Linked DNA regions of Arabidopsis thaliana. The protein of the gene in region 3 interacts with the protein of the main gene of each other region in a pairwise test. Each region holds a gene or a part of one and is shown on either strand. Other genes may lie near its edges. The genes, in order: AT1G22490, AT1G02210, GATA19 and AT1G48040.

What was found.
Region 1: the proteins of GATA19 (region 3) and AT1G22490 interact in a two-hybrid assay, tested with the Arabidopsis thaliana proteins (one large-scale study listed by BioGRID).
Region 2: the proteins of GATA19 (region 3) and AT1G02210 interact in a two-hybrid assay, tested with the Arabidopsis thaliana proteins (one large-scale study listed by BioGRID).
Region 4: the proteins of GATA19 (region 3) and AT1G48040 interact in a two-hybrid assay, tested with the Arabidopsis thaliana proteins (one large-scale study listed by BioGRID).

What each region holds. Positions count from the first base shown.
Region 1 is NC_003070.9:7,937,869-7,942,943, forward strand, and holds AT1G22490 (basic helix-loop-helix (bHLH) DNA-binding superfamily protein), read right to left. Parts: upstream 2,758-5,075; 5' UTR 2,622-2,757; coding exon 2,184-2,621; intron 1,718-2,183; coding exon 1,175-1,717; 3' UTR 729-1,174; downstream 1-728.
Region 2 is NC_003070.9:426,593-429,728, forward strand, and holds AT1G02210 (NAC (No Apical Meristem) domain transcriptional regulator superfamily protein), read right to left. Parts: upstream 1,220-3,136; coding exon 956-1,219; downstream 1-955. Other genes in the region: NAC003 (NAC domain containing protein 3), read right to left, coding at 2,310-2,507, 2,656-2,778, 2,870-3,136.
Region 3 is NC_003075.7:17,267,771-17,271,968, forward strand, and holds GATA19 (GATA transcription factor 19), read right to left. Parts: upstream 2,230-4,198; 5' UTR 1,893-2,229; coding exon 1,605-1,892; intron 1,484-1,604; coding exon 1,136-1,483; 3' UTR 919-1,135; downstream 1-918. UniProt on the Arabidopsis thaliana protein: Transcriptional regulator that specifically binds 5'-GATA-3' or 5'-GAT-3' motifs within gene promoters.
Region 4 is NC_003070.9:17,718,944-17,724,297, forward strand, and holds AT1G48040 (Protein phosphatase 2C family protein), read right to left. Parts: upstream 2,949-5,354; 5' UTR 2,756-2,948; coding exon 2,585-2,755; intron 2,102-2,584; coding exon 1,121-2,101; 3' UTR 641-1,120; downstream 1-640. Other genes in the region: mtLPD1 (mitochondrial lipoamide dehydrogenase 1), read right to left, coding at 1-198; Ku80 family protein, read left to right, coding at 4,555-4,569, 4,945-5,037, 5,116-5,167, 5,306-5,354.

The DNA.
Region 1 (5,075 bases), on a different chromosome or scaffold from region 3:
TTAGTTATACATGTGTGTTATGGTCGGCTAAATGTTTTTTTTTATAATAAAGATACAACCTTGTATATCAAATTTTTTATTTTCAATTTTATTTTCTTGGGTTACTAGATAGAAAGAATTTGTTTGCATTCAAAGCCAAAGGTATAACCTCCACTATCGTAGGAGCATGCTAAAATTTAGTGATTAACGGATTAAAAGTTGAACCCACAAACTTTAAAAGTTCTAGAAAAAGACGAATTCATCTTTGAAGAAAATAAATTCAAAAATTAATCAATCATACTATTAATCATTATAATTATACACTAAACACAACCCTAAAAACACTGAGAAGTACATTAGGCGTAGGCCTAACGGCTATTAGCGCCCAATGTCACATACTTATCGACTTAAACCATTTTCTTTTATTCAATTTTTTTGTTCAGATCTTTATGACCATTGATTCATTACAAGAGACAAAAATGCAACTTACATAGGGAGGATTAGAGGAATAGTGAAAAAAAAAAAAAATTAGAAAACTGATTTCAGTTATTTCAAAATAAAATAAAAATAAAACAAGTTAATTATAATCTATTTGCTGAATTATGTCTCTTCTTGAATCCTCCTTATGGTTTGATTCAAAGCTGTTGCAATGTCGTCCACGGTATTCAGTTGGCTTCCTTCTTCAACCTGAACCAACACATTTTCTCTTAAGAAATAAAGATATACATAACAATTCTTGAAAAAAGTTGCAACAAACAAAATTAGAAGGATGTAGATAACTATAACAAAATATCTTTCTATTTGCTAAATATCTCCTGAAACAAATGGTGGACTCACTTCGTTGTCCGTACATATCTCATCTACAATTATGTGACCACCGAACATATATCCACAGTACATAAACATATACATAAACATATATAAATACACAACACCACGTATACAATTCGTGGATATAGATAGACACATATTCGTGTTTCGTTTCTTTAGGTTGGTCCCCTGATTCTTACAGGCACGATTAAGATACGCAATTTATTATTGACAAAAATAATAATCAAAATGATGATTATGAGTTTGACCCACAACTATTGAGGCCCCAGCCCTAAGTACCCAAAGGAGGTAAGAAAAAAACAAAGAGAATGATTTTAATTTTTCTTCACAACCTTTTTAAAGCCCAGGCATAACCACAATAGTACTAATCCAAAATTTCCCCCCAACAATAAGAGACAAAAAAATAAATCAACAAAGTGAAACCATATGCACCACACACACAGTCATTACTCACTTTAATCTCATGATTACCCCAAAAGCAAACAAAGTAATGATGAGAAGTTGAAAATGTACGTACCCTGACGCTGATGGAGTAGAGAATGGAGTTGTGGAGAGTGGTGACATTGAGATGAAGAAGAGTGAGCCTTAGGCTTTGTAAAGAAGTTATGAGCTTAAGAAGCTGCCTCGGTTTCTTCTTCGTCATTATCTTGATGTTCGCATGGCTTTCTGCCACCGTAACCTCTATCTCCGCCGGTGAAGATGAGCTTTCCGGTACATCTGATGATGACTTTGTAGAATATTGTGGGAAGCTGAAAAAATCTGTGAATGGACCCACTAACGAGCTAGTGCTAGTCTTGTCTCCTTTGGGATCATGAGTCCTAGTTCTCTTCGGCTCCATAGATTGTAAAATATGCTCTAACTCCTTCACGTAGTTTATAGCTCCTCCTACTATCGACGCTTGATCTCCCTTTACCACCAAAACCCGCTCATGTCAGATCATATAGTTATCATAAAGATTGAAAAAATCTTTGAATGTATAAATATACACACACACGTATCATTGCTAATTGCTTAAGTTTATTACGAAATTGTTCTAAAACATATCCCAATATTCTCAATCATACTCGTTCTAATTTTTGGTGACACATAATATTTTATTTTAAAAAATACATTAAAATATGTAACAGCAAAGATTATTAGTATGTATATAAACGCGTCACCCTTCCATATTTACGGTGGATTTTCTTGTTAATATATTGTATAAAAACATCAATATATATTCTCAGTCATTTTCATTCTATTCTTTTGTGTTAATATATTATGGAGAAATGAGTACTACAGCCAAGCAAGTAATAAAACAAAGACACATATACCTAAGAATGACCCTGACCAAATGATATATAGCATATATAAACATTGAATTAGTAAGTTACTCTTTGAGCATACGACGACGGCATTAGAGAACGGAGCACAGCCAGATACTCGTTCATCTGTTTCCGGCGATTTCTCTCGACGGCGATGTGAGTCATTCTCTGGTTCTCGATCTCTTCCTTGTTCTTGCAGTTTCTCGTTCTCCTCCTCTTCCTCCGGTGCTGTGGAGGAGGATGACTCTCCACATCAATGGCGGTAAGACCAAGCTCTTCTCCCAACGAAGGGATCAACAAAGGATACTGATGATAGTCTCGCCATTGATGATCGTCCTCCTTACCTTGTTCCACAAAGCTCTGTTCATGCCCTAACTTATCAATGTTGTTCTTCGTATCTTGAGCTACGAACTCTTCTTGAGAGTATAAGTCGTGGAACATAAAATCTTTGCAATTGGAGAGATATCCGAATGGATCTTGCGGGTATACGACAGCCTCTAAGGGCATTTTTTAGCCGGAGATTGTTGAAAAGAAAAATTCAGAATTATGGAAAAAATAAGAAAGATTGAGAAACCGAGAGAGGGAGAGAGAAGGAGAGAAAACAAAATTTAGACAGGAAGTGTTTGTCGCTCTCCTTTTTGTCTCGAGGGGGAAATAAAGGCAAAAGGGTTAAGCCCACTAAAGGAAACTAAGCATGGTATTAGTTATATGAAGATTTTTTGTAAATTGATTTACAAAATATTAAATTCTCAAGAACTCACCGGCATGGAGGAAGAATAGGAGAGTGAATCTTCAACAAAAATAAATATACAAAAGAAAGATATGAGAGTGAAAACCGAAATATGAGGATCAAACAAAGTGGTGTGATTTATTTAAAAAGGGAATTGAGAGAAGCTTTGTGAGGCTATTAATTTTTTTTTTTTTTTTTTTGATGCTCTCACAGTTGACCAAAAATAAATGCTCCCGCAGAGATCAAAAACGAAAAGAAAAATAAAACTAAAGAAAAGATGTATTTGTCACCAATATATATATAAAAAACACTGAAAAGGAGATATAAAGTGCACTTGTAATAATCATCCCAATTGTATTTAAATAACTTGTTCATAATAATTAGAGGTTAAGAAAATAAAGAAAAAAATTGTTCATAATGTTTTTAATATAAATTAGTTTTATTATATAGTAATTTTATTATTAAGATGTTAATTGTTTGGAACTATTCCTAAAAACCCATAATCTTTCTTAGTTCAAAATCAAATAAATAATAAATAATTTATTAAGAAATGGTAAAGCTGATATAGTGGGCAGTGAATTTATATTGACGTTCGAGTGAAAGAAAACTGGTGCTGGACTGCTGGTGGTGATCATAACCAGTTAAAACCTCTTTCGAGTTTTTCCGAATATGTATAGTGTAAGGATACACAGATGGTGATGGCTAAACTACTTAAAATTCTAAATATAGCAAAAAATTAATAGAAAAAACAATAGTTCGTTAGTACTAATATGTCATGTTGCGGATTACTTTAACCAAAAAAAAAGTTACGGACTACTTTAACAAATTTTTTTGTTGCGGATTAGCGTTTTCGCCAAAAAAAAATTAAGACGTGCAATTCTACGTCAGTCGGACAAGTGAGTGATACAATAAAACGAAAATGTGAAATTTTCAATTGGACCATAAAAATTCTAAAGCATTATATATATACAGTTACATGCTACTTGTAAACAAAGTTATTTGAGTTTCCAGTTAGGACGGTCTACGCCAATTAATTTTTAGTTCTACGCATTCACATCTGGTAACAATTTTTTTGGTTTGAAAATTAAAATTCTACCAGATATTACCTTAGAATATCTATCCAACTTCGTGGAATTAGATCCATTATCTATGGTTACTAATTACTATTTAGATACATAGATGCATATAGATAAATGTATACATTGCAGCGTCAAGTTTGCACGTGAGATAGTAGTAGACCAGTCCACAAGACCAAATAATCTGTTTGCAGGTTGGGGGTCGTCTAGTTACACTCATGTTCTATTATTTTACTTTAAACAAAAATATAATGTATTTCCATATCAAATATATGGTTAAGTATCCGATTAAAATTAAAAATCTTTAAAACAAATGTTTGTCAGAAAATACACAACCAATAGAAGATTTATTTTGGCCGGTGGGGATCACTTTATGTCAGGTTTTAACAAATTTGTTTCGTGATGTTATTAAAAATATATTTAAATCGAGATATTTACTTGCATGTTATAAAATGATGGTCTATTAAAAATCTTTTGTCACTACTTTTCAACATCAAAAACCAAAAAAGTTATGTATATAAATTAGGTGGCATCTTTTGATTATTCTGATCTAATCACTCTGGGAATATATAATAGTAGAAATCAATTTTGATATGAAAACAAAATTTAAAGAATTAGATAGATGTGACTAGGCTGCGTTTTGTAATCAAATTTGGTCGGACACTTGGAATCTTAAAATCTGAACCAATTTGCCGAAAAAATAAATAATATGTGAACATAAAACTGCAGGACAAACTTTTCATGATGATACAAAGAATCTTGTTGTATGCACTTCAAATTGAATTTAAGCTATAGTAATCTTGTCTCCTTTGAATACGTGTACCTAATGTTATTTGTACATCATCAAACTCAAAATTAATTGGTCGATTATTATTTAATATTTAAAAATTTGTTTCGATCATCCTTTATGTTTATTACTTTTTAATCATTTTAGTTCATCGTTTAACATGTAGATATTTTCGCACGAGTGATATTTATTTTCTATCGATCATAGCAGAGTTTTGTTTTTGATGCAGACGTTTAAAGAGATGTTTTTTCTTTTCTGAAAAAAGTAAAAACAATTGAGAGGAGAAGCCATGAGCATATGTCCAGAAAAGTCCATGTAACCTCACAAGCTTCTATTTTTCTTGTCTCTCAACTCTCAAGTACTTTTCC
Region 2 (3,136 bases), on a different chromosome or scaffold from region 3:
AAGTTATGTTTCCAAACGCCAGTAACGACCAAATCTAGGCATGTAGATTTCATTGGGTCACGTGGATGCATCAAATTTAACGCGCCGCATTTACTTTTCAACGAATGGCACAGTTTCAACTACCTCGAGAAAAATCCAAAACCAAAAAAGCTATTTGGAATCTTTAAAATCTTTTTACAAATTTCTTCTATTATAGTATTGCTTTGTTGTACTATATTTCACGACCTTTCATGAATATTTTAAATATAAATAGAAGTGGTAGGCGCATATCTTTTTATATTCAAAAGATTCATATCCAATGACACAACTAATCAATGTTCAACCGACCTTAGTAGCCAAGTTCCGTTATGGTCAATACGAGAGGTTGAAGAGTGATTAAGCTCAATTATACCAGATTTACCACAACGACTAATATCCTTCCTTATCTTCACTTTTGAACTCTACTTTGCAGACAATATATGCTCTCTGTCGTCAAAGCCCATAAGATATCTCACTAAAACGTTCAAACTCACTCTACGTATAAGATCATATACCACACGTAGACAAAAATTGAACCTACTCAGGCTGATCTTTGTTTCAAGTTTTATTTTTAACAAATTTATAAAGAAAATATACGACATGTATCTTAGTAACCATTGTGTAGAGATATATCAGATTGTGATTTGAAGAGGTGGTCCTGATGTTTGAAACACAACACTCTCAGCTTTAGGCAATAGTTTAACTAAGATGGATGGTAATTTTTACAAATAACATGCACGTACGATTTGTTTAACTATTTCTCGACAACCTAAACCAAATAGGATATAATATATGATCGTGTTAATTAAGTAAGATAATATATATATATATATATATATATATATATATATATGTACCAAATAACCTAAAATTTGATTGTTTTAGGGCTAATCGGCAGATTCTCTCATAACATCGTTGAGAAAAAAGGACACGGTGATTAAACATCATAAATTCGGAATATTACCTGATTAGGAGGCAAAAACGTTGGTTGATACACGTGCATTACCCAATCGGATTTGGATCCATTGATGTTTTCATACGATTGGAAAACCAAAACTTGTTTCTCACCAATTTTAACACCATTACTAGTTATCCACTTGCCAATGATTGGTGTGTTGGATACAGTTTCTTTCCAATAACCCGAATTCGTTTTCAATATTTCTTCGTTATATTCATCACAACTAAAGAAGAACCATACCATAGTATCAGCCCACTCGCTCTTTGATTTGGCTATAATAATTATTAAAAAAAAAAACCTAAATCAGAAATCAGCCTATAATCAATGATTGAATCAGAAAATCATGATCTAGCATTAATTGACCAAAACTTTCATGGCACATGCCAAGGATCGTAACTAGAGATTTTAACGGTGGTAATGAAATGATGATATTGCCTTCCTTGATGCCGAGATGTTTTAGCAGGAGGTAATATTCGATGATAACGTCATCTGTCGGCCGGAATCTGAAATCCGCCGGATATTTCATTCTTATCGAATAAACCCATAAAGTTAAAAACAATAGAGAGCGATGAAAAATGCAAAATAGGGTTTACAATTTTTATATGTAGGTAATTTAGAAAAACAAAATTCTTTTTTTTTGGGCAACATAAAAAAATTCCTTAATTCTGAAGAAGATATAACGAATAAGGTACGTAATTTGATGTATAATAAACGAAAGCAAAGTCTTTGAACGCCGAAACAGAGGAATTAACAAGAAACAGAATGAAAGTGATGTAGAAGAAAAAGAAAGATTACTAAAATTACATGATATAGGATAATGTAAACAAATAAACAATAGTCTAATGGGTTTTGGATTTAGCCATCAACATGACAACATGCACGTGTACATATATGATGTAGACTTGAAAGTCCAAAAAAAGACTCTTGACATTACTGAAATGAAGCATCTTAATTTGAAATTTATTCTTGTTTTCTTTCGTTGAATGGAATTTGTTTATGGGGTTAGGTAGGACTAGAATAGTACTTCGAGGTTGATTGATACTTGATAGGGTACGTCAAATAAAATTTGAGCATTTGGTTAGCTGTATGAGCAGAAATTATACAACTTTGTCTTCACAATGGAGCATACATACAAGATGAGAAAGTAACAAAACAAGATAGACATTATTATGTCAATGGATACAAATTTGTCTTCACAAATTTACCAGTTTTATACATATCACACATACAGTATGGTAAAGTTACAAACCAAGATAGACATCATAGCATACACTTGTACTGTTGTAAATAATTTGGAAAGTAGAAAAGGTGTTATTGATCACTTTTATTGTTATCAAGTTCTTGAGATGGAAGAACATAGGTGAATTTTCTTGACGAATTTTTGTATCATCCTGTGAAAGAAACCAGCTCTTTTCTTCTTGATCGTCTCTTGACCCAATTTATGCTCACCAATCTCAGTCCCTTGTGCATCATCATAAGGATTCTTCTTCTTCTCGGCGGTATCAATACTGGTTATTAGAGCTTGGCTCACCTTGAATCATAACAAAGAAACAAAGTCGTTGTAATGAGTGTTGGCACAAAGTAGCATCATTGATTGTTTGTGTTGTTAGTAGTGATGGCACAAAGTAGCATTAAGGATTGTTTGCCTCAGTGAAAGATAGAGAGATAAGAAAGCTCACCTCTTGAGTTAGTGACACTAAGTTGATTGTTGAGGTAGGAGATTCTTGCAGGTCTTTGATCTGGTCTATGCGATGATTTGAGCTACCAAAACTATCACAAGTGCTCGAAGTTTGAATAGAGTTCTGTCAAATGAATGAAACAAAAACTTGAGCTTTGTAAGGTGAAATACGAAAACAGAGGATTATAAAGGTACAAAAGTAGAAATTTGCTTACTGTTTTTGGAGTTAGCAAATCAGAATCATTATCATCACTGCTAACATCATCACTGAAGACACCAGTTAATGAGTTTGGAGGTCTGTAATCACTTCGATTATCATGCATAAACATGATACTCTTCTCCTTAGCATCATCAATATCATTCAACCATGTTTCCCATTCCTCAATCGGTATAGCATCCTCGATTTGAGCATCATCCTCATCATTCATCAGCCATTTTACCAATTCCTCGGTCAGTTTAGCATCCTCGATTGGAGCTTCTTG
Region 3 (4,198 bases):
TTCTTGCGTAGCGGATAAGTAATGTATATTTGTATGATGTATATGTAGGTCTTGGTAAAATAGAGTTTTATAGGTATAGAATCTGGCGGTGGTCTATATTCCAATTTTTAAAAAATCGTTTCAATTTGGAATTTCATTTGACTTTGAATGGAATTTATATCGAATGGGCTTAGGCCCAAATAAAATCGCAACTTATATGCTCATTCCCGGTCAGGAGCGGTTGAAAGTGGAAAGTAGAAATTCTGAAGACATTTAATTTTATTCGTGAAAAAATAGAAAAACATTTCATTATTATTCTAATTGGAAGACAAATTTAGTAGTTTAGTGACTCTTTTTTCGTCTTGACTCTCATAAATGACTCAAAAAAAAATTGTTACTCTCGCTTTCTGTTGTTATAGAGTTTCAAAACACTTTATTATCTTGGATTGTGTTTCCGGAAACAATCAAATAAAAACTAACGTTTTTTTAATACAATAACTAAACACGTTATGAAAAAGATAAATATTCTTCACATGCAGTTGGCAGCAACAGTTTTAAGCAGAGCAGCACACGAAGACCTAATTGATGGTCAAATTTCCAAGACAATTTGGGCAAAACACGACAAACATTCAGCTTGGCCACCCTGCAGATATTTGTTGGCTTAATTTTCAAATTCGGTCCAAGTATTTGATTATTTCAATTTGGAAAAGAAACTCACAAATTAAACGTTTAAGATATAAGTATTTGTGAAGATAGTATCTGCATCCCAAAATATTCACATTCTCCGTACAAAAACCCAAAGATGCTTTAAAAAGAAATTAAAGGAATGAATATGTATTCTGTATATGTATAGTATATCACTGAATCGTGGTCAAAGTAGGACACACATCATGTAAAGGTTATAAAGTCACGAATTATTAGTTCATTACCCGAGAGAACATTTTAAAAGTCATGCAAGGAAAACACAAGTAGCATCCATCATACGAATTATAAATTTAAGAAAAACACTTACACAGAGACCAAAAAAAGACATTAAATATTTATATTTAAAGGAAAGTAAAATAAAGAATTTAACGAAGGCTAAGACTTTTCTTTTTTGTTAAAAGGTATCCAAGGCTAAGACTTATAAGGGGAATATCTATGAAATGATCACTCATCACATCGTAAAATCGTGGACAAGGCCGGTCCGGTCGGCGACGTTAAGCCTCCAAGACAAGAACGGGTCGGTTGTGACGTCATGATCAACAACTCTGACATCATCAACGTATGAGTATTCGTTATTGGCCGGCGAGTAATATGGAACTCTCTGCGTATTATGCTGATGGTGCCAAGGCGACGATGAAGCATATTGGTTATTATTGTTATAATAATAATTTGCACTTGCTTGATGATCCAAAGTTGGAACTCCAGCTGCAGTTGATCCTCCGCCGGAGGTCGAGTTTCTGGCGGTCGATGCACGTCTCTCTTCTTTCTTGAATCGGATTCCACACGCATTACACAACGACTGACCAAATTAAAAATCATATAAAGTTATTATCAATATTTGTTTTGTTGTACAGAGAGAAATATTAGTCCCACATCAAGAAATGATAAAATATTTGATGTAAAGGTTACATATTAAATACCTTGGGACCTCTTGGACCGTTTCTCCAAAGAGGAGTAGAAGTGGTGTCGCAGTTGGCGCAACGGCGAGCGAGGAGGTTATGTCCGCCGCCTCCACCGCCTTTCTTGGAACCGTTCAAGAAGTCCCAGCCTATGGTGTCGGAGGTATGAGACGAGAATCTACGTTCATCATCCTCGTTGCAGAGGCGAGTGGAGGGAGTTCCAAGTGAGAGAGTGCAGTCAACAGAAGCATATGGAGAGGAATGATGGCTGACGTCGTTTTCGGGGGAGAAGAACATTGAGAAACCCATCACTATATATGAACTTGGAAACCCTAGAAAGTTGATATTAAAATATATAGAGAGAAGGAGAAAGAGAAGTGTGTGTTGTGTGTGGTGTTTATGAGATGAATAAGTTCTCTAAGGAAACGGTGAAAGAAGAGTCAGCCAAAACAAAGAAAGAGTCCACGTTGCTGTTGTGAAATGGAGACAAGAAGTATTTATAGAGAATTTGGGAACTTGGCAAAAGAGGAAAATTTGGTCCCGGTCTTATTATGTGTGTATGATTAATCTATGCTTTATTCTTTTGTTCTTTAGATTTACATGTGAATTTGCTCCTTTAGTTTGTCTACAAAGATGTTGCAATGAATATTCTAAATATGTGTTGGTTTTTGTTCAGTTCTAAGCGATTTTTAATAACAAAACGTTTTAACCTAACAAAATTAATTAATGATACTGCTCCGAATCTAGATTATTATGCAAATTCATTGCATACCGTATAATATTCCACGACCAAGTACCAAGTGAGTAGTCTTGTTTAACAATGCTAAGCAAACTACAGTGTTTTGATATATTATTTAAATGGTAAAGTAAGAAAATAAATGATAAGTACATCTGCAGTTAAAGCAGCAGAGAGGAAGGTAGTCAAAAAAGAGGCACGTGACTGGCAATGTCACGGTCTTCCAAGGATCTGGTCTCTCTCTGATCACGATCATCTCGAAATTAAACGCTCCTTCTCTTTCCGAATCTCTTCTTCCACACGTCATCGCTCGCTTCACCAATTCGACGTGTCATACTCTCATATATGCATGAATCCATTTTATGTTCTAAATTCAAATAGTGTGCGACACTGTTAATGTTCACCGCACTACAATTTCAGTGGCTCTCTAACGACAGTCGTAATAATACAAATAAAATGTTGTATATGACGTATAATTATGTTGTTTTTAACCTTAATCAAAAAATTTGTTTTGTATGTGATTGAATATTGTTGTTACGATTGTGGTCAAGCATGAGAGATCGTAATCGCCAAGATCGGTGCTTTTAAGGAGTTAAAAGAACAAAACTAGCCAATGTTCAAGTTATAAGTGAACTAAAAAGGAATAAAGACAAAGTGAGATACTTTGCAATGATTTTAAAGCAATTACATTGTGTTCTTTCTTTAGCTTGGTGAGAGTTATTCTATGTTTCTATTGATTTAGTCAAAGAAGCAAACTCCAACCAAAATTTAAAATTTAAAAGAAAAAGGGTACAAAGAGAATGAACCCATCAAATGAGTACACTCTGTAGCTCTAAGCTCTTATTTCTTTATCCTTTATCTTCTTTCTCTTTTTATCTAATTTTGGATCAAATAACGAAGTTACGTTATCTCCAAGAACAGATCTATGTTTTTTTTGCTTTCAAAGTAAGGTTTTGTATCAAATAATTTTAAATTTGATCGGCCGACCCATTTTTGGATCAATTATCGTAATGGGGTACGTCAAAATGTGTAACGTTTTTATACTAATTTTATAAGCTCTCAACTAAAAAAAAAAATATTAAGAATAAATAAATTGTACGTTTTATGTTTATATATACTATTATTTGAGTTTCATTATCTTATTTACCAACATTCATTTCATTTTATTACAAACATGAAATATCAACTGTGTTTTCTATAAACCTCACTCGTTCAACAAAAGGAAAACAATCAAATTGATGAGTTTTAAGAATATCAATTCAATAATCTTGTTGGAGGATGTCGTGTGCCGCCAAACACGAGTGGACAAAATGCGTGAAACGGGAAAGAGTAAAAAAGATTAAAAGAACACCAAGAGACCCAGAGAGAGAGGGAACAAAGAGAATCGGATCGGTCTTGAGATTGGTTAATTTTTGGTTCAATTGAGATACGGCGACCACCGCTTTCCCAAAAGATGCCTCTCTGTCTCTTATGCTCTTTGCTTCGTAGAACACGAAACCTAACCCTAACGATTACCCCAAGACGCAAAGTGTTCGACTTCGTAATTTCACATTACATGTCATGTCTCTTCACTCACGTGACTTCTAATCTTATTATAATCTAACTGAGCTGTTGAAGCCTGATAACGCCTAATCCAGCCCACGTTTCTTGGCCCATCATATCACCTTCATTTGGTTGAATGTTGTTAGATTTCGCACTAACATTCGTTATTTTCTTCGACAAGTCCCAATTACACAAAAATGAAAAGTCTTTATATAAACTAACAGATTTTACAACAAGAGCCAAACTGGTTTTGTCAAGAGTCAAGACCATCATTTTGAACCAAACACAAAAAACCACAGAAGAAAACACCAAAAAAGTAGCTCCAAATCTCTCTCTA
Region 4 (5,354 bases), on a different chromosome or scaffold from region 3:
ACCAAGCTGAGAGGCTTTGATCGCGGCTACGTAACCACCGGGACCGCCGCCGATGATGACGACGTCGTTTTCATCAGATCCTGATGAGGCGAAGCCACGGGAGAGGGAAAAGGAGAATCTGAGAGCGTCAGTGGGAGAGTTTGATAAGTTTCTGGTGAGAAAATACGCCTTCCTCCTAGCTAAACTCGCCATCGCCATTGTTGTTTTAGAGAGAAAGAGAGACTTGGCTCCTTGTAGAGATGAACAGAGCCGGCAAATGTAAAGAGGAGAGGCTCTCTTAGAACCCTTTTTCTCTTTTTAATCACAAATATTTTAATATTTCCTTAATTGACCAAAAATATAGATAAGTAAATAAATCATTTATATGAATGAATACTTGAATTTCTAATCTCAATTATGTACACTAAATATTTGAAATTGATTACAAAGTTACCTTAATGCACACTTGATTTATTATTATTTTCTTGTCAACATTTGAATTACTTTTATAAGTTCTAGACTTCTAATTCATATGTAAAGAAATACACCAAAAAATATTTATGTATATGTAATGAAAAATACTGTATTGTAAAAATTATCAAAAAATATACTCATCAGAAATATATGGACATGAAGATTGTTGGAGGAGAAGAAGATAAAGAGATAAAGATAGAGATGATGAGAAGCAAGTAAGGACAGGATTTGAGGCTTTTGAGATAAACCTCCAAAACCTTTCACAGTCAGAAAGAAACTCTCTGAATTCCACATATATGGGAGAGAGATTCTTAAACCAACCTCCAAAATCTAGATTCAAAATAGTTAAAATTAAAATTCCTTAAAACAATCAATAATGGGTACAACATCACTAATCCTCAAGAACAAAAATGAAATCCTCTTAATCAGTTTCAATAATCCTACCAAAACTTCAGGCTGGTTTTTCTCTCTATCTCTCTCTGAAACAAACCAAAAAAACAGATCAATCAAAAATGAGAAACCACATTACAAACAAGACCTTAACTCTCTATCACTCTCTACGTCTCTTATTTTATCTCATCGAATCGAATCTCAAATTAGAGAAATAATGGTTTGATCGGTAACACCCGATCCCTGTTGTTTGTACATACTGCCAAAAACACTGCTTTCACTCGCCTGCAAGCATTGCTTGTAACCGAGCTCGGGCTTCGTCAGAAACACAGAATCTTAATCTTCTTCTTTGCGGTTGTTTAGGTGAAGACGGAACTGAGGAGAAGCAGATCACTATAACCGTCATATTATCTGATGACTGAAGCCTCGCTGCTTCTTTTCCTAGTTCCATCGCACATTGTCTCGGGTCACCATGCCTCCTCAATCCTTGCCTTACATTACTCACTGCATTCTGGCTTGACAACACATCCCATATACCATCACATGCCAAAATCAAGAACTCGTCGTCCTCTGTTAGAATGATCTGTCCAATCTCTGGGTCTGAAATCAGTGGTGAAGAGGAGTCAGTGAAAGGATTCTTCAGTTCCCAATCTCCAATGGCACGCGTGACAGCTAGGACTCCGTTGAGGTATCCATCCTCAAAGTATCCTCCTAAATCTTCAATCCGCCTTCTTTCTGGCTCATATGTTGATCTGTGATCGAAAGACATATCAACAGCCACTCCTCTCCTACATAGCACTGCACGACAATCTCCAGCATTAGCAACAAGAAGATGTCGTCCGATTATGAGAGCGGTCAAAGCGGTTGTCCCGCATGAACCACTGACAATGGTTTCATCAGCCATGGCAAGATCAGCCAAAGCAAAAGCCTTTCGGTGAGAATTCTCCAGTTCTTCTAAGAAAAACGCGTCCACAATGGAGGGCATCTCTGGAAACACAGCATCTTGGAAAAACAATCTAGTCAAGTTCTCCTTCATGAAAATTGCTGCCTCAGGCCCACCATGACCATCAAACACACCATAAAAAGCACTTGGTACCGAGAAGTTGTAGGATCCAAGGTGAGCTGACAAATCATCTATGCAAATGTGTTCATCCTCCATGGTTTCTCGACTTCGAATGTCAGCAAAGCTCCCTGAACGTATAGTTGGGATAAAGTCACTGGCGGATTCTCCAATGGTAGTAGTTACACAACTCATGCCCTGTTACAACAAATGTACATAAGAAGGTTTGTTTAAGATTCCTGAACTTGGCACAATTAAAGAAACAGAACAGCCAGAACAGAGCATCAGAGTCGTTCCGCTAACAATGTAAAATTGATTCATGAACACCTAAACTAATTCTTCATGCAAAGGTATAAACTTTCCAAAGCACAACACTAATCTTATCATTTTCCATTGTCTACACGAACCTAATCGAAGAGGGTATGTAGGATTCAACATTATTATGCAATAGAGAACAAAAAGAAACCCAAAACTAATATAAGCCCTGATGCAGAATCGGATCATTATCAGAATTTCAAGCAACGGTCTAATCTCAAAATCAAATTATAACTCCTAATCTAAACCAACAAACTCAATTACGAGAAAGAAGAATCCACATGATCTAATTTCTAAGGGAAATTTCTAAGAAACCCAATTAATAAAAATGAGCGATTTTTAGAACAAGAAACCAAAAACACATACCGATCCGAATCGAGGCGTTTCAGCGGAACCCGAAATCTCAGCACGGACAGACTCAGAAACACGAACTTCGTCGATCTGAAAATTCTTCTGATCTTTAGGAGCGGAGATATGGCACTTAACGTCAAGAACCCTGATCTCAGCTTCAGCAACCATTGTTTGACTCAAAATCATGACTTGGTTAATAATCAAATGGAGTAGATCCGATTGCGAATTTCACCGAAAGGCAAATCGACGAATAAATCAACGGGGTAAGAGGTGGTGCTTTGCTTGGACGCAATTGAAATTCGCCTAAAAGAATAAAGAAGACAGGGAATGGGGAATTAGGGTTTGGTTTCTGTGTTGGTTGTTTATTTGCATATTTCTTAATTGACCCATGCCTATATTTAATATAATTTATAAATTTTAATGTATTAAAATACTGTTTTAAAAATATTTATTTTACTAAAAAAGAGTTAATTTTTTAAGCCCAACTTCCATATACCATATTGGACAAGAAAGTGTAATAGATTCTTATATATTCTTTGTGATCTCTAGTTTTCTTATCTACTTTTTTTTGTATATTTAAATTCACATATTTCCCACATAACCGCAAATGTTACTTACAAATTCAATGATTCAGAAGATTCCAAAAATCTAACTGGAACATATATAAACTATAAAAAGACTGTTTTTAAATATTTAGTTTAAATTAAAAAGTTTTTTTCAACTTTTAATTTTCTAAGCCCAACTTCCATATGGGACTCACAAAAAAAAAAGGGAAAGGTCCAGTTTTATTTGAGAATATGTAATAAGTTCTTATACATTTTTTGTGATTTTAGTTCTTTTTTTTTTAATCTATTTTTTTTTGTATATCTGAAATTCAAAGTTCCAACCGAACTGCCTATGACGAACAAATTCAATGGCTTAGAAGATTCTAAAAATCCAACCGAAACATATATAAACGGTAAACATAAGACTATTTGATGTTTTAATAAATTGAAATTGATCTTACAAAAAGAAAATATTTAATTGTTGTTACATATCTATTGTTTTTAAAATGCAGAAATTATACCAAATTAAATAATAATATGAGTAAACAAAGTAGTAAACATATAATATATAATCTAACTGTTTTTTTTTAACGTTGAAAGTTCGCAACAACATTTTTAACTATTTGTATGTGTTTTGCATTTTTGAAGAAAAATCATTATTTGACGGCGAAATAAATTACATACGTGTATTCTTGGTTAAGAAACAAGACAAGTGTATACAAATATGTGTGTGGTGACGCGAGGTTGATGATTTTGAGCATTGGGCGTGACTTCACTGAAGTTGATGATTTGATATCCTTTGTGAATAATTGAATCTTGTTCGTTCTTCTAAATGTGGGTTGACTTTCTTTCTCAAAATGCTCTTTGTTCTCCCTTTATCCTCGACGATCTCAAGGTCGGGTCTTACCACATCTTTGCGACATAATTAATATAGGATGCCTACCGATCGGTACATGGAAAAATTCAAGTTTGGGATCCTACTAAAAAAAATATAGGATGCCTACTGAAAAAAATTAAAATATGATAATGTGTTTATGAGGTTTTAAAATGGAAAAATAATTAATATAGTGAAAATAATTTTTTGTAACTGTATTTCTAAACTTTAAATAAAAAGTAAAATTTAATTGTTATGTTTAGATTCAGAGGGATATATACTATATAAGATATGATTCATTACATACTTTATTAAAATACCCATTTTTGTTAAATCTACAGAGTCCATATTGGAAGTTGGACATATGGACTTTTTCTTAGATAGTTTAGCCCAATGGGCCTATCTCATTTTAAGGCCACGTTAGAGTCAGTCAGCCTATTTTCAAAAAAATAAAATAAAAATTCTTCGTCTTCTTCGTTTCACCATCTCTCTTTTTCTCATCATTCTTCTTCTTCTTCTTCTTCTTCTTCTTCTTCTTCACCTTCTTCTTCCAGCACAACTCCTCAATGGCACGAAATCGGGTATAATTTCTTCTAATCTTACTTCGTTACATATTAACCTTCGTTTTTTTTTCTTATAGGTTTCTTCAGAAATCAATTCAATGAAATTAATACCTTCTTCAGCTTCTGTTTGTTTTCCATCGATGTTTCTTTTTCTACTTAGTTTCGTGCATGTTATTCTACATTGCTGCATACCATTTCTTCTTTGATAATTCTGTTTATGCTGATTTTGACTTCGTTTTATGCTCAATTATGTTCTGGATATCTCATTGATTCATTTTTGGAACTGTTCTTGGAGTAATTTAGGGTTTTAATTTGTCATTTCATTTGAGAGAAATTAGTCCTGCTCGATTTTACTTTTAATTCGATGTGTGTGTGTGTGTTCATCGGAAGCAGGAGGGTTTGGTTTTGGTGCTCGATGTAGGTCCTGCGATGCGTAGTGTTCTCCCTGATGTTGAAAAGGCATGTTCAATGCTACTTCAGAAGAAGGTATACGATCTTTTTCTTCTGAAATTATTGTTCATGAATTTTGGATCTTTCCTTATTGGTTTTGGTTTGTTGTTGCAGTTGATTTACAACAAGTATGATGAAGTTGGAATTGTTGTCTTTGGAACTGAAGGTCTCTCTATCTATTCTTATTACTGATTAAAGTAGGAAGTTAGGAATCTATCCTCTTTAGTACTGCAATGGTTCTTTCTTGGAGTATTATCGGCTTGTTGATGTACTTTGATAATAATGTTTCATGTGACCTCTGCAGAAACTGGAAACGAGCTTGCTAGGGAGATAGGTGGATATGAGAATGTTAC